Linked DNA regions of Drosophila melanogaster. Changing the gene in region 1 together with any one later gene gives a genetic interaction. Each region holds a gene or a part of one and is shown on either strand. Other genes may lie near its edges. The genes, in order: wdb, pbl, Akt and foxo.

The links.
Region 2: of wdb (region 1) and pbl, changing one enhances a phenotype caused by changing the other (phenotypic enhancement), as found in Drosophila melanogaster (one study listed by BioGRID).
Region 3: of wdb (region 1) and Akt, changing one suppresses a phenotype caused by changing the other (phenotypic suppression), as found in Drosophila melanogaster (2 studies listed by BioGRID).
Region 4: of wdb (region 1) and foxo, changing one enhances a phenotype caused by changing the other (phenotypic enhancement), as found in Drosophila melanogaster (one study listed by BioGRID).

What each region holds. Positions count from the first base shown.
Region 1 is NT_033777.3:27,579,195-27,583,870, reverse strand, and holds the start of wdb (widerborst), read left to right. Parts: upstream 1-1,629; 5' UTR 1,630-2,282; intron 2,283-2,327; exon of another isoform or gene 2,328-2,727; intron 2,728-3,545; exon of another isoform or gene 3,546-3,714; intron 3,715-4,676. Other genes in the region: pins (partner of inscuteable), read right to left, coding at 1-783.
Region 2 is NT_037436.4:7,908,908-7,913,616, forward strand, and holds the start of pbl (pebble), read right to left. Parts: upstream 3,048-4,709; 5' UTR 2,552-3,047; coding exon 2,515-2,551; intron 432-2,514; coding exon of another isoform or gene 254-431; intron 1-253. Other genes in the region: CG8281 (uncharacterized protein), read left to right, coding at 3,700-4,709.
Region 3 is NT_033777.3:16,097,638-16,105,274, reverse strand, and holds the start of Akt (Akt kinase), read right to left. Parts: upstream 6,048-7,637; 5' UTR 5,615-6,047; intron 4,516-5,614; exon of another isoform or gene 4,496-4,515; intron 4,376-4,495; 5' UTR 4,332-4,375; coding exon of another isoform or gene 4,089-4,331; coding exon 3,549-4,088; intron 3,481-3,548; coding exon 3,283-3,480; intron 3,218-3,282; coding exon 2,828-3,217; intron 2,765-2,827; coding exon 2,531-2,764; intron 2,463-2,530; coding exon 2,316-2,462; intron 2,245-2,315; coding exon 2,161-2,244; 3' UTR 1-2,160. UniProt on the Drosophila melanogaster protein: Serine/threonine kinase involved in various developmental processes. During early embryogenesis, acts as a survival protein. During mid-embryogenesis, phosphorylates and activates trh, a transcription factor required for tracheal cell fate determination.
Region 4 is NT_033777.3:14,055,039-14,059,989, forward strand, and holds the start of foxo (forkhead box, sub-group O), read left to right. Parts: upstream 1-1,906; 5' UTR 1,907-1,986; exon of another isoform or gene 1,987-2,390; intron 2,391-2,702; 5' UTR 2,703-3,069; intron 3,070-4,951. UniProt on the Drosophila melanogaster protein: Transcription factor involved in the regulation of the insulin signaling pathway. Consistently activates both the downstream target Thor\d4EBP and the feedback control target InR.

The DNA.
Region 1 (4,676 bases):
GTTGGCCCTTCGCTCAGCCGCGCGATCACCAAACTCTCTGGCAATGCGCAGTCGCTCCTGATGATGCTCAATGGCCGCTTGGAAATCGCCTAGTAGGTAGTAGGTATTTCCCAGATTACCACAAGCTCGACCTTGAGCACCACGATCACCCAGATCCCGCATGAGCTTCAGATTCTCCTGGTAAAACTCCACGGCACGGGTGAGCGCCTCCTTGACATCGTCGCCGAACTTTCCAGGGTTTCTCTGACCCAAGTGCTTGCCCTTGGCGTGGTAGACATTTCCTAGGTTGTAAAGAGCGCGTCCCTCGGACAGACGATCTCCCAGCTGCCTGGCCAGCGTTAGGTGCCTCTCGCAACAGATGGCCGCCTCGTCGAAGCGACCCATTACCTTGAGGGTGTTGCCCAGATTGCCAGAGGACTTGGCCTCGCCCAGTCGGTCGTTCATGCTCTTGGCCAGCGTAAGATCGTGTTTGTGGTACTGCATCGCCTTGTTGTAGTCGCCTAGGTAGAAGTAGGCGTTGCCCAGCTGGGAGTAGATGGCGGACAGAGTGCGAAGATCCTCGGTTCCGGCCTGAATGGCCGCCTGGAAGAAGGCCACGCCCGCCCGGCAGTCACCCGCCTTGCAGAGGCGTTCACCCTCGAGGGCCAGTTCCAGGCACATACTGGATCCTCCGTCGGATCCGGAACCCTGCTGGGAGTTGCCGTCGTGGGAAGTAGTTCCTCCTCCGCCCGATCCCAGTCCCAAACTGGACACATTCTCCGCGGACGCAGAGAGCGAGGACATTCTGCTGCGAAGTCTCGCCTTTTTGTCGCGATGCTCCTTTTTGAGGGGCAGGTGCTCTGAAAACTGGGAGTTGTCCACTTTGCGGCGATGTTTTGGGGTCGATCTTTGGGGTTTTTAGCTAGCCTCTGGCTGGTTTTGAACTGCTGGTGGGTAAACTTAACTGCGACAGGTGAAATTTCAGCAATTAAGCGATCTTTTGTACCGTTTTTTTGACTAATTAGTGCGTTTCTGATTCACGACCAGTGTGACCGATTGGGGTCGATGAGAATACCAAGCAGATTAGAAAGAAATACCAACTTTATATGGTATGTCGTTGGATTTAAAAATAATATCTGTTATATTTTGTTTTAAGTCAATTGAACAATTTTAAATTACTTGTTATTTTTCCCCTACAACAAAGATACTATGAAAATTATATAAATAATATGCCTTTACCTCATGACCATAGCTTACATATCAGCAATATTTAGTAGCCCAATTGGTAATATTATATATATAATTACATTGTTTGATGGTTAATGTATGCATGCCGTTTGATTTAAAACTAATTTTTTTTTAACTTTAAGAAAAAGCAGTTTAAATTCATTTATTAGAATTCGAATTAGAAATCTTATCAGATGGTTGCCCTAATTTGAGAAATGTTAGCCACTGCAAGACCATAGCTTATAAAGGATCAATACTTATGAGCCAAGCTAAAACACAATTTTATCATAGTCTTTTCTTATTTTTGTAACGTATTAGTAAAATCTAAAATATATTGGCATAGTTAACATTTATCATTTTCGGTCAACAAGCCATAGCCCTCATCCCTATCAACCGTAGTTGGTAGCCAGCACTTTTGCAGACGCGCTTTGCAACACTAATCGCTTCAAAGATGGCGTCACTTCTACGGTGTCTGTGTGAACGATTCTAGTTGCCGCTGGAGAAAATTCGTAATTCTCGCATAAAGCGCACCTGCCGGTTACCAAAATCGATTGAAAAGCGAACGTCCCATATTGCGGCGCGATAAGCGGGTGAAATTGTGGCAGTGCGTGCGCGATAGACTGTTAGAAAAGCAGTGCAAATTGGAAGTCCGGATGCTCGAAGGTGTGTGTGTGCGTCGCTTTTTTTGTGCGGTTTTCAGCTGCAGTCGGCCAACAGTGCAACGCAAACATTGTGTTCTAAATTACATAAAGCAGGGAATTTCTGCACGAAGGCAACCGAAAAAAGGACTAAAAGGAAAAAATTAGCCACACAAAAGGAGAGCGAGTGCGACAGGGAAGGAGGGATACAGAGCGAGCGAGAGGTCGATAACGATAGCCTTGTTTGGTTATCGCCCTCGATAGGAAATAAAAACGGGAGAAAAACTTGAAAGCAGCGGCGTCTTTCAGTTCGCCGGTGTGCCCGTGCGTTGGATGGTATTTTGTGGTATTTTCATTCATTTTTGGGACTGTAGTGTGACCGTGTGTGGGAGAGAGCCGCCTAAATAGAGAGCGCGACGCGCAACAACAGTTTCTGTGGTGAGTTGAAACGAAACTCACCACGCTCTCACCCAGAAATCTGGCACAGTGGTCTCGAAACAAAAGCCAAATGAGTAATCGCACCTGGGGAATCTAGCTAAATATCAGCACCAAACAATTGAAAGTCAGCTAGATGAAAACAATAACAATAGTAATACTATTCGAAGTACTAATACTAATCAATTGGAGGCAGGCTTTTCGTTTGTGTGTGCCTGCTCCCTCTCGCGTATAGTATATACCCATGTGCCAGAGAGAGCAAGCCGAAAACGAAAAGAGAGCGCGAGAGTCGGACGAAGGAAAAAAATATCGCCACAGTTGCCGTATGCCGCCTTCGTCGTCGGTTGCAAAAGATATAGAAATCTTTTATATACACACATACGCAGTCGGTTTTTAATAAATTCTGCAGCGAAAATTCCAAGCCCGAATAAAGAAGGAGAAATAAAAGGCAACTAAACAAAGCCGAGTGCAAAATTAAAGCCAAATTTCCAAGGCGAATGCAAATTTTTCAAGTGCGCAGTAAGCGGCTAAATCCCCAGACGCAATTCGGTGTTTCAAAAGTTTTAATAAATAAATAAATATGTAATTACGCTCGCAATCCAGCCAGCCCGCACACACACACGCACACACAAATACACGCACGCAATCGGTTAGAATTCGTATGAGCATATATATTTTTTACTTATATTATTTTTAGAATATCGATTTTGTGCCGCGTGCGTGTGTGTGTCTCTCTCGCACCGAGTGTGTGTGCCTGTGTGTGTGTTTGAAACATACATATTTATGATAAGTGTGTGTGTCAAGCAGTAAAATGTGTTAAGAATTATGTTCATATAGACACAAGTTACCTAATCTTACTCCTCTTACCTAAATGAGGAAAAAGGCAAAATAGATGAAAGGAATCAACAAACCGAAGTGAAGCAAAAGATAGAGCAAAGGCAACAGCGAAAAGAGCCCCATCAAAACAGCTGCGCTCTCTCACCTTTTACTCATCTTCCCATCCTCTCTCTCTACCCATTCACATTCTTACGCTTCTCCCATTCCCCAAAGTGCGCCCCACTCACTCACACACGTTCGCCATTAAAGATCTTTGTGTATTTTGCTTTGACACCGCATTTACATGTGTTGACCCCACTTGGACAACACAGCCCCCCCCCCCCCTCCCATTCGAACAACCCCCTCCACCCGCGCGATGCGTTGTGCAAAATTCTCTCGTGAACTACAGTTCTAATTCAATTATGCCAACTGCTATACACACATCCACAGTGAAAACCAGCAAGCAGCGCTAAACCGCCAGCCAAAAGCAAAGATAAAACGAGAAAAAGCATCTCCGTGACGTAGGCAAACGCGAGAGCCGAAACCGAAAACCAAAACTGAAACTGAAAAAACTGAGATATCGAGCAGACGAGAATTACAAACTCTGAAATCGAGAAAGGTATGCCAAGACCAACGGAAGTTGGCCCACAGCGAATTTGATTCAAATCGATGCCATTTTGGGCTAAAAGCTCGCTCCATTTCCGTTCCATGCCTAACCCTTGGATAACTAATGTGCCATAAATGAAACTACTAGAAATTCAAATTCAAAATGCTCAGAAAAACAGGGGTTTGAAGGAAGGAAGTCCATCAATACAATAGAATATCATTACCCCTTTCTTATTTAATTAATAGTTATTATTATCCACGAAACACGTAAACTTAAATATCAATTTATATATACTATAGCACATCAAATTGTTAAATGTGTTAAATCAAACATAATGCCAATTGCCAACGTCACCTCAATATGAAATGTCTTAACGAATTAAATAAATGTGGCCAAGGGGTTAAGCCATAACCACCGATTGAAAGTCAGGCAAATAACTGGTTCTAATTGATTGAGTGATTGCTTGAGGGGGTGGGTCAGTGGGGGGGGGGGGGGCAGAACCTGCTCGGCAAATTAACAAGTTCCAATTGATATATACGTGTGGGGACACACGAAATTCGTCGAGCCTACTCGAAATTATCATAAATGTGTCAAAATGGTAAATCAATTCGAAGGGGCAGAACAACTTTAGCTCTATATAGATATATGTAGCTGTAGCTGTCATCGCGGTGACAAGGCCCTCGATTTGCCCTGAAATTAAGCCATTATATATCGCCGCACTGATCACTTTAATTATAATCCATAATCCATGTAATCCACAAGGCAACCCAAGCACGCCCAGCGTAAAGTTCCCAAACCGAACGTGACTAGGGTGCAATTAAGTGGCGATGAAAAAAAGATCACTTAAATTTTCAGCGATTTGATTTCCAGTTTCTAGCTGACAATCGCTTTTTATTGTTCATCCAAGCGGGTTTGTGTCAACTGGCCCACTGTCTATTTGCCCGTTAACTTGGCTTTGACGTCACGGATTTCTA
Region 2 (4,709 bases), on another chromosome or scaffold:
ATATCACCTTAACATGACATCGAATGCTTTCCTCGGAAAGTAATATATTTATTTATGAAATACATAGTTATTTTTACTGTTCCTGCACCTTTCCCAGGTGTTTGTCGATGGTCTGGCTGAATGGATGGATGATTCACGAAAGACTTTACCCTACTTAAGTTTCCCTCTGGCGAATATGTTGCTCTTGCTTTTGCGCATATTCAACCCTTGGAAACGAGTACCTGAAGGGGTTTATCTGGGAATCTTGAAATACCTGTAAAATCCTCGTACACCTGACACAAGGCGGCCTGTCGAAGCTTCGCCTGTTTGACCTCCTCGTCGGCGGCATATGTGAAATAGGAGGCGGATTGTCGCTGAACCGTGACCACTTTGTTGCTCTTTTTGCCCAAATGGTTGCCAAAGTTGAACTGCACCAGCGGTAAGTGTAACATTTTGTTCGCAGATCCTCAAGGATCGGGCTCTAAAACATAACTAAATGCAAGACGAGCTCAGGCTGAGGGAACACCTGAAATCGCATTTTGCATGGCCACAGGTGGTAGCTTCTTCGGTTCAAACAAGAAGAAGAAGGTATGTAAGTGAGGTCAGGAGAAAAGGTAAACGCAAAATGGTAAGCAAAATTTCCGAGTGTGAGAAAGTGCCGAGACTCACAGGTGGCGGCCACCATTTTTCGCCATTCGGGAATTTCCTTCCTTTTTGCCCGAACAAAATCCGCTGTTGTTATTTATTTTCTACTTTTCCTCGCTGGCTGCCTGCCAGGGAAACGATGAAAAACTAATTGAGTGGCATCTGAGAAATGAAAAGCCATCGGAAGAAGAGGGCTGTGTGTGTGGGTTTCTGGGCATTCAGCCACGCAGCGAAAAATGTCCTATGCGAAATCATAGTTAACCCAAAATGACAATTTTTGATTTTTACTTAAATTCTCGTGTCTATTGCTTTTGACCTAGACCTAAAAGCATTTTTAAGTGACAATGAAATCCAAAAATAAAATATTTTATGTAAAAAAATTGTGTTTTAAACGAAAGACGTTTTGTAATTTTGGAATAATATTTAGAAAATTACTTTAAATCTCTAGAAAAAAAAACCTCAGTTTACCTGCAAGTTTAAATTATACATAAAATCAACCAATTTCTCGCTGTGTAGCGGATTTTGTCAAATAGCAGAGCAGAGTCATCAAAGAAAAATCTTGTAATAAAATTACGTACGTATCCCGCGGAAGCCTTGACGTAGGCGAAGAGCAGATTCCGAAGGTCTGCGGGCCATGTAAAATGCCATTAGCATTGAGGGACGGAAAACACGGACTACAGGCTATATAGTCATAGTTGTATGGGCATGTGCGCCCTGTCAACATGTGTAAATGGAATACGAGGTAATCGGCCAGCGGGGTAGGTAAACCACCCGGAAAGCAAGGATCAAGGATTCTGTGCAACAAGAGGAGGAAGTAGAAGGAGCGAAGAGCCTGTCGAGCAGGATAAATTCTTCTTCTTACCTGGCGGCAAGTATTAGAGCGGAGCAGACAGAATAAGTACACAAAGATATCATGTAGAGTTGATTTCAAAAGTATCTACATACATATGCACATTTAAAGGCTAAATAACATCAAAGGAGAATTGATTTTATAACCTAACCAAATTATAAACTTTTAATTGATATATGCTTTATTTGCGCCTCAAATTCGGACACAAAATACATTAAATGATAATTTTATTTGTTTATGCCGCGCGCTGGAAAAATTCCTGCCGTACAACATATTTACACGTATTTTTTAAGGCAATAACCTTTGAAATTGTGTGGTATTTGCAGTTACACGTTCTCGTTGCGGAAATCGTAGGCTTATGGAAAGTATAACAATTTTAATTGCCTAGAAACAATTTTGTTTTTAGTTAAATAAAAATGTTAAAAATATAATAAAAACTTTATAGCAGAGATTTCTCTTTCCCATCAATACCTAAATCTATCTTTTGTTAATTGTTTACTTTTTTAAGATTCGATAGTTTCTTGTTTACTTTCTTTTATAGCTACAACTCCATGGCTAAAAACGGCTGAATTCGCATCAATGATAACAGGAACTGATCGCTTAAATTGTTGTTGCTTGTCCTTTCTTTTTACTCTCACAACAGTTAGGGCGCCTCAGTTGTTGTTGTTGTTCTTGCTGTCGGTACAGTGTCGCCGAAGAGAGGGAGAGTGAGGGGAAACGATGATGAAGAGAGGGAGGCATTTCGCATTTATGCGATAAATATTTTCTACACCGAAATAAATTCAGAAAAAAAGATTAAAATATCTGCGACACGATGCCGTTGCTTTTTTAGTCACACAAATACACACAAAGATGTACTTATAGTCGTTGTTATTTCATTTTATTTTTTTGCATTTGCTGGCAGCGACATTTTTTATGAGGATCTTTTGGCCCCGAATGTGGTTTTACCCCGTACCCAACCCCTTTGGGCGACATTGAAAAATGATAAATTCGCCGGCCATTTGGAGCTGCCACGCCCCGCGCCCTCTTTCAGTACTCACCGCACTTCGATTGCTCTTCAATGGTCTCCATTTCCATGGATCTTCTGCAGTTACTTTTTTAAGGCGAACAACTCGTGGAACATACACAAAAACACACACCAACAGAACTCGAAACACAATAGAACGAACGCACAAGGAGACAAATAATTCGTTTGTACTCGATTCGTTTACTTTCATTAACTGGACGCTGTTTTCATGCATTTAGCGCGCATCATTTCCATGTTTGTTTGTTTTTCTACTTTTTGTTACAATTTATTTATTATTTAATTAAAAAGCGGCGGCTCACGAAAACACACACACACAGACGCGCATAGGCAGCGTCGCCCGGTTCTTCGTCCTCTTGTTAGCGATACCGCGTACCTGCTTTAGCAATTTAACCAACAAAATGATCAACAATGTAAGCGAATTGCGCTCAACGGCTGCGCGTCGGAATCACAAATCAAAACTCAACGGACAAACGCGTCTGTTTCGAATTTTTTTCGCTGTAGTGTGCCGCGCAGTGTAACCGTCGCGGGGGCGCCAAGAAATACGCGCAAATGTGATGAACGAAATACCAGAATCAATCGGCGCTAAATAATGGTCACACTTGCAAGGGGTTGAAGGTATTCCCTGTAATGCTATATAACTAAATTAAACGACTATGGCTATAAAATAGTTGTAAGCTGCACTATATTAACAATCAATTAGAACTGTTTTCTTCGTTTAAGTTGTTTTTGGCCTGTCGATAAATTAAATTTGGTAATATCCTACTATTGTTGCAGTTGTAGCCTCCAATCATATTTTTCATGCAAGCTATATAAGCTACAGTTAATTTTATGTATGCTTGCTCATATATTTAATAAATGAATGCCTAAAACTACTTGCTTTTGTGCTACTTTGTTTAAATATACGCGCTTGATAACAACGAGTTGACCGATAAATACTGCTGGCGAAGTATCGATACCAGTGACAAGCATTGCCACTACGTCCGCACTTGTTGCTGTATCTTCACGCTCACGCACACTCGCACACAACCATTACGTCAATATGGCAAACAATCTGTCAAACGCGCAATTACAACAAACACAGTTCGTTCGCATTGACAGTTGGTCAATAGGTCCATCCAGGATTCGCTGAAGTGGTGAAGATAGCCAAGGACTGCAGCTGGCGTGGATTGGCAGAGGGTAATCCAGAGATCCGCGCAAAATGCTGCCACAAACGCCGCCGCACGGATTGAAGGTGATGTCGGGAGCGGAGGAGAACCGACACTATCTGCGCGCCTTCATCCAGACATACAGGGATCTGCCCGTGCTGTGGGACACATCGCTGCGGGACTACACCAATCGGGAGAAGCGGGCGGAGGCCTATTTGCGCCTGGTGCCCATATACCATTATCTCAAGCGGGACGCCACCGTGGAGGATGTGAAAAAGAAGATCAACACACTGCGCACGAACTACCGCAAGGAGCTGAAGGTGGTGGAGAGTGCCCTGCGATCGGGCAGCCTCCACAGTCCACGCTGCTGGACCTTTCAGGAGCTGGACTTTCTGCGCAACTCGGAGAAGTTTCTAGCCGTCAATCCCGCCTTTAAGAACGAGCCCAACTTCGCCTTCGGTGAGAGCAGCAATTGCCCGAGTGCGTTTCTGGAGAGCCAGGGAGCAGCCCTCCATTATCCAGCACCACGCGCTGGTGGTCAGACGCCCAACATTTCCGAGATGTTTCACAAATCATTTGGAGCTCCGCCACCGCCACCGCCAGCAACCAACCATGTGGATTATGGGAGCAGCAAGCGAGCCAGGCAAACGCCGCCATGTACGGGAGCAGGAGCCGGATCTACTGGCGGTCCTGGGGCAACAGGCACCGCCCACAACACCGACGAACTACTCAACATAGCCTGCGAGTATTTGGCTGGCACATATCCGGAGGAGGAGTCCATCGCCCGCACCTGGACGCACAAACTGAAGCGACTGCCGCGCGAGCAGCGTCTTCTGGCCGAACGTTTCATCAACGAGATTCTCTTCGAGGCCGAGTCCAACAATCTGCATCGCGGATCTGTGCAAATCAACAACAGCTTCGAACCCTACGTTCGCTACGAAGAAACGCCAAATGGTCACGAGGAGCAGGACAAATCACAGAGCCCCAGTGTGCACACCTCCAGCGAATCCAAGCCCAATGTGTCGGGAGCGAGCGGAAGCGGGGGAGGAGGTGGGCCACCGGG
Region 3 (7,637 bases), about 11 Mb from region 1:
CTTTAGAACACATTGTAGTTTGCAGTTCGTGTAAGTTTTTGTTTTTTTTTTTTTAATCGAAACCAAAAATTGTCTCACACAACTCAGTAAACTTAGACAACTATTTTGAAAGGTCTCTTTCGTCCCCTTCGACGGGTAGAAAATGCTTCGATTTGGGATACCAGAGATGTTGACGTTCACTAAGGCTAGTATTCAATTTGCTTCGGATGTCCCTAACCGATTTCTAAGTCTTTGCTTTAGATTTCTAGCTGGTTGCCCCTTGGCTGGCAGACTTGCCTAACGAGTCTGTCAGAAGGGTTATTGGGCTTGTTGAAGTCGATTCTCGGGTTGTATGTCTATTAAGCCATGCTTAGGGGTTCTATATTTTGTCTATGTATTGCTTGATCGATCTGAGATTGATATTGGCTAGCCTAGATGTCAGCCGCAAACTTGGTGAGCAGAAAGCAAGGACTTTAAGCTGTTCAAGGATATAAAGATTGGTTCAATCGGAGCTATCTGATATCTCTCCTCAGCATAGGCTGGCTTTAGCTAGTTAGTTCGTTCCTAGTCATGATTTGGAACCATCATCGTCACATGTCCAAGACTCCAACCGAAACATCCCGACTTGCTGGCTCCTCAATTCTCGGTTCTCCTCGAGTTCCACCTAACTTCGCCGCTTCTTTGGCATTTTCTTTTCGTTTCTATATCCCTTCGTTTTCGATTTGCTGTTTATTGTAATCATCGAGTGATAGGTTTCGTTTAACATTTAGAAGAGAGATTATGCTTTCAATTTCTTTGTTTTCAGTTGAAATTCCCGAACTTGATTTTATTTAATAATTTTTATTTACAATATTTATTTTGTTTTCTTTACGAAATATAAAATAACTTTTTGTTTCGTTTTATTCTTGATTTTTGTTTTTATTGCGCATATAAAAATATCAAAAATTCTTTATTTTCTTTTAGGTTTTTTTTCTGTTTATATAATTTTTAATCTTCCTTTTGGAACTATTTGTAAGTCTGTTGTGGTTGATTTATATATATTTTTTGCTGACTTGCTCTAAGTATACAAAACTTGTTATGAACTTTTCAATGCCAAAAATGAAATGACAAAGATACATTTTTTATTGTGTCAAAGGTTAAACCTTTTCTGTGGCCTCAAATGGTGACTTCCATTTTCCACACGACACATACATCCTTTGTTTTTTTTTTGCATTTACTCTTGAGTTTTTGCTTTTTTTTTATAAATATTTACAAATATATATTTTTCGTAAAAAATTATAATAAAAAATGGCGTCAATTGTAATCATTTTGCTGTTGCCGTTATTGTTTCGAAATATGTTTCTGCCTGAATATAACTTTTAGTTGCTTGCTAATTATTGGCGCCTATAAACTGCATTGATGTATGTTTCCCTCGTTTATTAACTATTAGTTTGTTTGTTTCTGTTGTTGTAGTTTTGCATAAAGCACAGCACATTAGAGGCAATTTTAACATTATATATAACTTGTAATTGTTTCTGTTTCTTTTTTGCTTCTTTGGAGTATAAATAATTTATATATACGAGTGTTGCATGTGGGGGCGGTTGTTGAATATGTGTATTTCGATTTGTTGCTGTCAAGTTAACTAAACTTCATGTTCGCTATATGCTAAGTGGCTGTGTGAGTGCTGTCTGCGTGAATAATCTGTATAATCAATCAGCTTAAGCGACCCCTAGAGGATGCGATCCGATGATGCATGCTTTATCCTAGCACTAAGTCGCTCTAAGTCGCTTGGTTAAATGTTTTCCTTGCGTTTAAAATTAACTAATCACTTCAAGCGCTATGCCCCAAGTGTTATATTTAGTTGTATATATAATTATATATATATATATATATATATTTATATATATGTGTATAATCATATGTAGTAAATTATTTTCCTCGGCTTCGGCTGTTGCCCTTTCGTTCAACGTTCCCTTTCTCATTATACAAAAATAAGTTACTATCAATTCAATTCTCTTATTATTGGTGTATATAAACTAGCAAGAAAACCCTTTGCTTGCCTTCGTTATCATGGTATAATTAATATTTAATATATTCTTGCTGTTGTTTTCTTTTGCCCATTTCTATGTGTTATAGGTATAGTATAGTAATAGGTGATGAAGCAGAACATGATGTGTGCTGGTAAAAGTTTGTAAACTTGTTCTATTGCATCGATGCGAGACTTGTGGAAGTACTAATGTGCGACGAGGTGCCCAACGTGGAGGCCATGTCTCCTTGGTAGCTGAACTGTGGCGGTGAAACCAAAAATTGGATGAGCATACAGAACCCCACTTTAAATGTTTTCAACTAGATCTTACCTGCGGGAAAAGCGGCTCTTCGGCTATGGAGCCCAACGGGCCAGTGGGATCCGGCGGCGTCAACTCCACACTCTCTCCCGTAAACTCCTTGTCGAAGTACCTTGTATCCGTATCGGATGTCACCTGAGGCTTGAAAGGCGGCGGTATCTACGGTAAGCATTTTAAATTCGATTAATATATACGAATAGGTAACTGACAGATTTACTGTGCCCTACTTTTTTCAACACTAGATCTGTCCAGTTAATACTCGCAAAGAATGGATGTGCTTGTATCTCCTTGACATCATCCTTTCCACCTCCCAAACGCTTTTTGGGATCCTTAGCTAGAAGGCCTGCTAACAGATTTTTCGCCTCATCTGTGATATTACGCGGGAATTTTACCTCCTCCACCAAAATCAATGTAAAGAGCACATCATGATCACGATTGTAAAACGGAAGACGACCACAGATCTGTAAGGAATTATTTTTGTTTTTAATACTTGTTAATAGTATTTGCAGATGCAACAAACTCACCATCTCGTACATGACCACGCCAGTGCCCCACCAGTCCACCGCTTGGCCATAATCATTGTCATCTAATACTTCCGGAGCTAGGTATTCCGGTGTACCGCAGAAGGTTTTCGTTGTGCGGCCGTAGGTGATGTCCTCCTTGCACAGACCGAAGTCTGCGACCTTTATGTGACCATCTTTGTCCAGCAAAAGATTTTCCAGCTTTAAGTCGCGATAAATTATGCCCTGTGAATGCAGATAGCCCAGAGCAGAAATGATCTCTGCCCCATAGAAACGTGTTCGATCCTCAGTAAATATGCGTTCGTGGCTTAAATGCCAAAAGAGCTCGCCACCGTTCACGTACTGCATCACAAAACACAGGCGGTCGTTGGTTTGAAACGAATATTTGAGTGACTGCAAAACAGGGAAGACATATATTAGTTTTTTAACGTAAATTATATATTACTAGCAATACTTACAATGAGGAACGGATGATTTGTGGACTTGAGCACACGACTCTCGGTCAGGGTATGGGCCACCTCGTCCTTTTGGATAATAACTTCCTTTTTAAGAATTTTGATCGCGTACAGCTTGGCGGTAGCCTTCTCGCGACACAAAATAACCTTACCAAAGGTGCCCTTGCCGAGCACCTTGAGGAACTCAAAATTCTCCAAAGTCTACAAGGAGATAAGATGGAGTCAGCTCGATCACGCCCTTGGTCAATGACCAGGTGAGTGGTACTTACCACTTTCTTAACGCCGCTGCTATTACAAGTCGTTCCCTGTACGGAGAACTGCTCGGAAAGCTCGTCCTCGGCAATGGTGGCCATGTCCACGTCTGTCATGTCTGTCTGTTCAGATGGCGTCATAGCCACCTCACCCACATCTATGAGCCGGCTGGATACGTTGCGAATGGCCTCCGTCCACTGCTGGCGCTCTAATTCTGATTCGACGGCAAATGTCCTTTCGATTACCGTGGTCCATTGCAGGCCGCGGATGATGAAGGTGAATGGCTTGGGCCGATCGACGGTCATGATCTGGCAGCCGCGCACCGTAAAGTTGTTGAGCAGGAAGTCCGATGGCGTGCTGGCACTATCTGCCGGCTTGCTGCGGTAACCCATCAGTCTTCCATCGGAGTGGAGCACGAAGTAGCGCTGGCGCCAGTTCTTTATGTGCTCGCCCCTCTTCATCAGCCACCCCTCCTTTACGACCTGAGTCTGTTCCGTAAGCGCATGACCCGATGTAACGCTGGGCGAGCTGAGGTCGAAAGTTGTGTTTATTGACATGGTTCCGGAATCGTGTGTAGGGGCCGCGGAGGTCCTGCTTGGCCAGGATTGCTGCCAGCTGAATTTCTCTGCACTGCCGCTGGTGGGGCTGCTGTTTGGATGGGTGGATTGGCTGTAGATGATGTTAATGATGTTGCTCCCTGTGGTGGTGGGCGATTCCGGGATCCTAGAGGCAGATCCTGGCGCTGGGGCGCTGGCAACCACAGTCGATCGCCGCTGAAGAACAAACGGTAGGTAATTCGTGTTGAGGCTGTTTCACTAACCCTAGGGACAAGCTAATGAGGGACCTGTAAGAGGAGTACAGTGAATCCTTTATATTCATGCTGAGTTTGAAATACTTAAACTAAGAATGCGATCGACGAAAAGAAAAAGGCTTTAGCAGAGGGTTCGTCTAGTAACACCTTTACCTTCAGGGATTCAACATGTACTAGATATTAACTGATCCGCCAACTGTCGACATAAACTAGTCAAAGTGGACAAATGGAGTTCCCAAATGAGCTAGCTATCAAAAAAGGGGAAACAGACACTAAAAGGCTGCCAAGTCTATCCAGATATATACTTCCCACATCGCCTATCTCACGCTGATAGTAAACAATTGTTATTGTCATTTTGCATGTTTATGACAAATGCAGTTGGCGCTTGCGTCAGCAGCTGGTGCAAAACATTTGCGGCATTTCCGTCGCCAGAAAGGGATTGAATTGGATTGAGGACTGTGATTCTGATTGTATCGAATTGGATGGGTTGGTATGGTGTGGCATGGTATGGGATTGGATTCTTAGTCACTGGCCCACATGCAGATGTAGGCGCCATCGTCGCCTTGTTGTTGCTGCCACTTTCGGCTTCAAACGAAATTCCCCGCCATGTTACGCAGCGACACGGCGATACGAGTGAAAATTGTTCGCGATTGCATTTAGCGCGAAATTAAATCAAAACAAGTCGACGGCGGCGACTGTTCATGAACTTATGTATATGCATATATAATACATACATATACATATGTACACATACAGGGGACTCGCAGGCGGCACTCGCACTCGTACTCGCACTCACACTGGCACAACTGCAAAAGCAAAAGCATATTCATTTACAATTTGCGAAAATGTCAACGACGGATGGCCGCCGGCTGTACAAATGTCGCTATCTATCTAAAACTGTAAACAAATGTACATAAAATAAAAATCGACAAAATACACACACAGGCATAAGCGGACAGGCGCTCGCACACCGAGGCAGTCACACAGACAGGGCTGCATTGCAAAGTGCGAGTGAGGCCAGACTGTGGGTGCGAGGGGGAGGGAGACAGACAGTACGCGTGTCTGCCACAAAGGTGTATGAGTGTGAGTGTATGTGTGAGTGTCTGGCCGTGTGCGTGTGATTGTCTGGCCGTGTGGGTGTGAGTGGCTGAGTGAGTGAACCACCGAGTGTGCGAGTGTGTGTGGGCAGCGGCGACCTAGCAGCGCAACATGTCAAATCACTTCGTGGAAATGGAAATTGTGGAAATGCTGGTGAAAAATACAAGAACCCACCTAGTTTTGTAAAAAAAAAAACCCGACTTTTGCTTTCCCTACTGCACTGCGGTTTGTTTTCCTACTCGTTTTGGTATTTTCCTTTAGATGGTGACGGCAGCGACAACGTCACAGGCCTTCTTATTATTGTGCGTGTGTTGTTGTTGCTGCTTGCTATTGTTGTTGTTGCTGCTGCTGCTGTAGTTGTTGTTGTGTTAAGGTGCCAGACACCAGAGGACGGAACGAAACACACACAATCTCGCACTCGCGCACTGGAAGTCGATTTCCGCCACCCGGGCGTTTCCACTTGGTGTTTTCTTGCCTTCCAAAGCAACGTTGCATCAATTGCAAATGCTTAAAAACGTAGTTTTCATAAACAGAAGCACGCACACAGGCAAAGTAAATTTTCCAAGTACCGTTTAGTTTTTACGCTTCACTTTTTTTCGATAACTGGCTCGATAACTGATTCGATCCGCGTTGCCACCTGTTTTAGCGATAGTTAGGCGACTGTTACGGTGGAAAGATGCCAGAGAGAGACATTATTTAAGAGCTGTACAACGCGCAAATATCCCTTAAATTTAAATTAAATGTTTTAGAAGGCAATAGTTCTGTTTTCTGACTGTCTAGGCCGACTCTTTAACTAGAATTCACTTCAAATTTGAATGTATGAACTGCAGATTAATAATAATGCTGTATTGTTATTAAATTCATTTTTAAAAACTTTATTTTATATGCTATGTATACAAAACTATTTCTTATATCGACAAATTGTTATAACTTTTCAAAGCATAATTGATCAAAAATTTGGAAGCCCTATCAATTTTATATATGGTTCCTGTCCGCACTAAGTAGATACTCTGATAAGTATGACCATGTGTAAGTAGCTAGAAAAAGTCAGTTCTCTTTTCCAGTTTCCCAGATCAAATTTGATATTCACCTCTTTGGGCACTCTTGCTCAGATTTGTTTATGCAGAACGCGAAGTCTCCTTTGAATCCGAAAAAAAAACAAAAAACGAGTAGCGAATAAAGTGCCCCATTGGCACAAAACGAGGTAAATAACTTGCAACCCAATCGGAAGGGAGAACATAGCATGCCACTTTCAAATAAACAAATAACGACTCCAGCGCGACTGTGTGTGCGTGAGTCCCTCCCAATGTTTGTGTGTGTTATCAAAAAAGGCGTAGAAAAGTGCAAAAACAAAGGTGTTATTGACTCTCAACTTTCTTTTTCTGCCTATCGTGTGTATCACTGTGGGCTGTGGCCGAATAAGAGCGTTCGCCGAATATGAGCAATTGGAAAAGCATGAGCATAAGTAATGAGGCAGAATCGGTTGCATTCAATTAGTTGGAGAAATGAAAAATATGAAGAGATGGTGTAGAGAGAAGGGAAGAGTGCAGTCTCGAGCAATCAATACCAACGCAGCCACGAGCCCCCCTTTCTTTGTGTGTGTGTGTGTTACCGTGTGAAAACAAAACAAATGTATGCTAGCTGTGGAAAAGAAAGCGCATAATTGAATAATAAATAATAACAGAAACAGGGCAAATGGCAACGACTCAATGACAAAAGTAAAGCCGCCACCGCAGCAGAAGAAATGTGGGTGCAAAAGTGAAGAAATATGCCATTGTTTATGTGATTTGCAAATGTGCACATTCACACAAACACCGTGGCAAGATAACGGTTGTTGTGCGGGCGGGTGCATTGCTCGAAGTGGCTGTGCAATTGTAAGAGCGAGATAGCAATACGAAGAGAACAGGACTGAGCAGTACAGGGGCGAAATCCAGGGGACCTTAAACGTGGATTATGGGCACCTTAAATGTTTTTGTAAAATCAAATCACATAAATACCGTACTTTAAACTATTCAGTGAATTAAAATTGTGTTACTGATTTTAAAAATGTAAGTTGTAATTTCAAGTTTGGAAATGAACGGTATGCCCTGCACGTTTGTCTAGATCCACCCCTGGATAGAGCGCAGCAAAGAGAACAGTGCAAATCGAATTAGTCCAGACTTTTGGTCACGCCCTTGAACTTCGCATTAACCCACCA
Region 4 (4,951 bases), about 14 Mb from region 1:
TTTTTTGCCGCTGACAATTATGATCAAGTATTAGCTGGCGATAGCTGAAACGTCTGTGTAATTTCAATGGAATGGAATGGGAAGTGGGCGGCCTATTGATACACTGCTCGAGTGATTTTAACTTTTATCTGATCATTCAAACGCATAAATTAGTCTTGAGAACTTCAATTCATTTGATACTCCAGTTAACATGCTATTTACATGCTCATTTAAATGGTAGTAGTGATTTATAAGCCCACTTCCAGATGGAACTTACCTATACCAACGTGTTACTTATCGTTCTTAAGCCAACTTAATAGCATTCTAAAATATATATGTATCTTTTGGCGGACTTATCTTCTTGTTGTTCTCGCATTCCAAAATCTCTATGTACATGCAAACTTTTATTGTCATAACTCGGGACTTTGCAGACTTTGAGGCCTATTTAATAGAGCTATAATCTTACAACAAAAAAAAACTAAAAGAGCTTTTTAAGCAATAAAAATATTCTGAAAAATTACAAATTAACAAAAAATTACCCAATGAAGCCTGCAAATTTGAAATCTTTAAGATCCTAGATATGCCAAGATGCACCCTAAAGTCCTTAACTCATCTCCTTGGCTCGTTTCTAATCCCCCCTCTCGAGGGATCGAGACGATCGCATCGGGTCGGTCTTTAAGTTTGGATGATCCATAAACTGTTGGTTTCTCCGTCCTCAGCGTCTAGACTTCATTAGCCGTGTAATGTTGCGGAATTTATGTGGCAGGCACATTAAAATAACACCGATACACACTCTCATGGACGCGAACGTGTGTACAAGTATAGAGATATCGGGCCTAGGCGAAAAATGAAATTAAAAAAAAAAAAAAAACTGGCACCGGGAGGGGCTTATTTTTCGGTGGTCGGGGATGCGGGGGACTTTGACCATAAAATACATGCTCCCAAAAAGCTCGCACACTGCAAGAGATGCGGGGCACTTCTGAGTCCCATATTCATATGCACAAATGTGCATTGCTGGCATTATCAGTAGAATGCAATTTCGGGAAATTTTCCATCGCATCACGAGACAATGAACGTAAGAGAGAAATGGAGCCTCAAAGAGGGAGGGAGAGAGAGAGCTTGAGTGAACGAGCGAGCGACAATCGCGAGATAACGGCTGCCTTATCAGCAATGCCGACCGCCCCATCACCCCACCCAAAACGCCCAACCACCACCCACCGCCGCCGTTCCCTTTCCTCCATCGTCGAGAATTTCGAGTTCAGAGCAGCGCGACCGAAATGAAAAGAAACAATTTAAATTCCAAATGTATAAAATAGGTAAACTATGGCTTTTATTTATTAATATTGACGGGGGCACAAAGGCGGTCACCTCAATAGTGAATAACATGTTTTTTATAATGAATACTTTTCAAATTGTTATTAATATGCAATGACGTCTTAAATGTTTCACTGCAGCTGAACTTTATTCTTTTCATTAAAACAGTCACCCGTTATTAAAAATAAATAGATTAAGTTTTATATTATTAAATTTGTAAGTATTGAAACAATTCCTTTTTTATTTTATACGAATTATCATTTAGTTGGGGTTAATATCCCTTAAAGAGAGAAATTTGTATGCTTTAAGATTTAAAATATCTATTGCATTTATAGCTATAGCTATAACTTCTCTTATTTCACGCAGAAAATACTCAAATAAAACATATCGATTTGGCATACCCCACTAATTTTTTGGCCCCAAGTGTGTGAGAGTGTGTGAGACGAAGCGCGCCACAAACATAAAAAAGCGGTGAAGTGAGCGGTTGTGGAACGTGAGTGGATGCTAAGAGCAAGCTCTCACATACGCGGACATAGGTCGCACACACACACGCACAGACCGCCTTTTTGCGCCGCCGAAACGAACACTTTTACGAAGGCGACGGCGAATCAGTTTCAGTTGTCAGTTCGCATCCAACTAGAAAGCAGTTAACGAGTAGTCTGTGTTTTTTCGCTTGCGGTTAAAAGCCACGAGGTCGTTCATCGTTCATCGTTTTCCTTTTCAACTTCAAGCAAAGCAAATATAAACCAATGCAAAAAACGCAGTGATCTTTTGAGGCCCAAATCGTTTGGGGCCGAACACCGTTGATTCTAAAACGCAAATGTAGAAACAAATCAAGAAAGTGGAAAATAAATATGTTTCGCTTTCAAAACATGTGAATGTGCCGAACTCAAAACTGAAACGTAGAAGGAACGCGTTCGTTTTTTACATACGACAATCGTATAAAATAAGAGAAAAGCTCCAAAACGTATTAAATAGCGATGCTTGGATGATCTTCGTAGCAGTCACGTTGTACATACAAATACATACATATGTACCTACTATATGGCACATAAAATACGTTACGCACACTAGTGGCGAATAAAAAGCGAATTGGAGTAAGCTCCGAAACGTGTTTATATTAAAATTTTTTACCCATTTGAACTTTAAACAACTTTTCGACTGCGCCGCACGGTTTTCATTGAATTCTCATACGAATTCCAATTAAGTGTTGTGTGTGCGTCCAATTGGCATGAATTGATGACGTGACGTGATCGCTCTCTTCGCTCTCTCCCTCTCTTTCTTCGGCACACACACATACACACACTACGCTCTTTAATCGCGCCGCTCTCTTCGCGCTCTTTTTATTTGTTTATTTTGATTGTTGTTATATATATATTCTAATTTACCGTTTTTACAATCGTCTTTAGCTTAAGCAAAACCGCCGCCCAGCAACAACAAGAAACCCATTTAATGAGTGTGTGTGTGTGTGAGCAGAAAATTATGCCAACAGAATTCTAAAAAATATATATGTATATATTTAAATAACCACTAAAAATCAAGAAATCCGCACAAGTTTCGCTCAAAACAACAACACAATCATATATACTACCCATAAAAAAAAAACAAACCCATAAAAAAGTGCAAAGCAACCAGGAAAATAAAGTAAAACAGTGCCAGTTAACAACAGCAAACGGCGATCAACAAATCCCACCGGCAAAATCAACAATTTTTTAAATCGCAATCAACAAGGAGCAACAAATTAGCCAGCTATTTCCCATTGCAAACATTTGGCGGGTAAATATTATTAACAATTACGAGTAGGTGTACTTGATTGAATGAAAAATGTCATGTTTTTTAAGTTCCTAAATTCGATTCGAATCTAATCGGCAATTGATTGAAATATTCTAAAAGTCAAATTTTGTTTCGTCACGCGATTAAAAAAGTAATTGAAGCAGTGCTTTCCTACACATCAATTAAAATTTAAATTAAATGGTATTTTATGTTGATTACAACAACATTTTTTTTAGTCGCCACAATAAAATATTCATTCTTCCGTGAAATATTTCCAATATAAATTGCTATTGCTATATTTATAAAAATAAGCTTTGATAAAAGTTAAGAGGTTTAATAGAAACTAGAGTTAGGTTCTTTTATTTATATTGGTGTTTAGAATTTTAGATAGGAAAGCTGGACTTTTTGTTGTGTTAAAGTAGTCACATCTATTGAATTTACGACCCAAATTTTAATACAACCGATAGGGAATGTGATTTATAACCTTATTCGAGTAATTCCTAGTTTCACTTTCAAGATCAAAACGACTAGAATCATAAAGTCGGTCACGTTCGGCGCTGCAGTGTCGCTCCAATAGATGATCTTTCAGTTCGTGTGGGTTTTGATTAGTCCGTTTTGGTGTGTTACTTGTCATGGGAGTGGGCAGGGGAGATCTTAATTAGAGCAGCGCTGATAATGGCTCTAAAAATAGAGCCCCAGCGCCACACTGATAGCAGAGCTTGAAGCGTGTGTCGTTTGCGTGGAGCTCATTTCTTTCGTTCTGTGTTTGTTTGCTCCCCCGATTTTCGTATGCGATCCACTAAGGTCGATTTTGTTGCCATATTTTGCCAGCGATCTCGTATACGCACCGTTTTCAGATGCTTTTGAATATTCTCTTGACATCAGTATTGACATTGAAATGTGATTAGGTTTAATTTTCATAAATGGGTTGATTCGCCACTCGGTTAGCTGTCGAAAGAGGCTTTTTTATTCCCCATTTACAGATAAGGCTTTTATCTATTCGCAATGTGCCAAGGTACAACAGCAGCTGATGGCCCAAAAAAAGTGTACATATAAGCCTATACACACATCTGTATAGTCGTCCTATGTGCTTGCGATTGTGACTTTTATCATATCTTGAGTGTTTGCTAGCCACATTGGTGGAACGTGCCAGTTGATAACAAGAAAGTGTGCGAAAGTTTGTCTAAAAAGCTGTAATTGAAGCAGGGAAACCGGGAAGTCAATTAATTTTGAGAGACAACATTAAACGTATTCTTCGTATTCTAGTATTCTTCAAGAATTAGTAAAGCTCTTACTAATAAGCTCGTTTGAGAATGACGATAAGTTATATCGATAATGTCGATTTTACCGATAACCGAAAAACGTTAGTAATGGAAATTTAATGATCATTAAATGAGAGCCACTACATATTGTTTTGTTTAGAAAGATATAGTCGGAATACCAGTAGTTATTTCTTAGTATTATTTTGTGATTTTTAAATATTCTACTCAGATGTGTAGAACTTTTTTTCGAACGCTTCTTTTTGCTTAATTTATTTCGTTTTTCGCGCCGACCCCAAAAACGTTAGTAATGCAAATCGATTGCGTTTGCGAAGTCAGATGATCCCATCCATGATTTCCATGCGTCAGTTGTCCCAGCTGTCAATCGAAGATCGCCGTTTGGGGGCTCTACGTTCCTGGTTGACTTCGCCATCGGTCGAGTGGAATCGAATCGTTCGTTTGCTCTTTAATTATTGTAATGAATTCAATAAACATTGCAGGGCCTCTGCCGTTCATTTGCATTTGCGTTCGCACTCGCTGCATTCTGAACTATTGCACATTGCCTGGTCGGGCCTCTCCTTCTCTATATAGCGATATATATGTATATGTATATGTATATATAAATA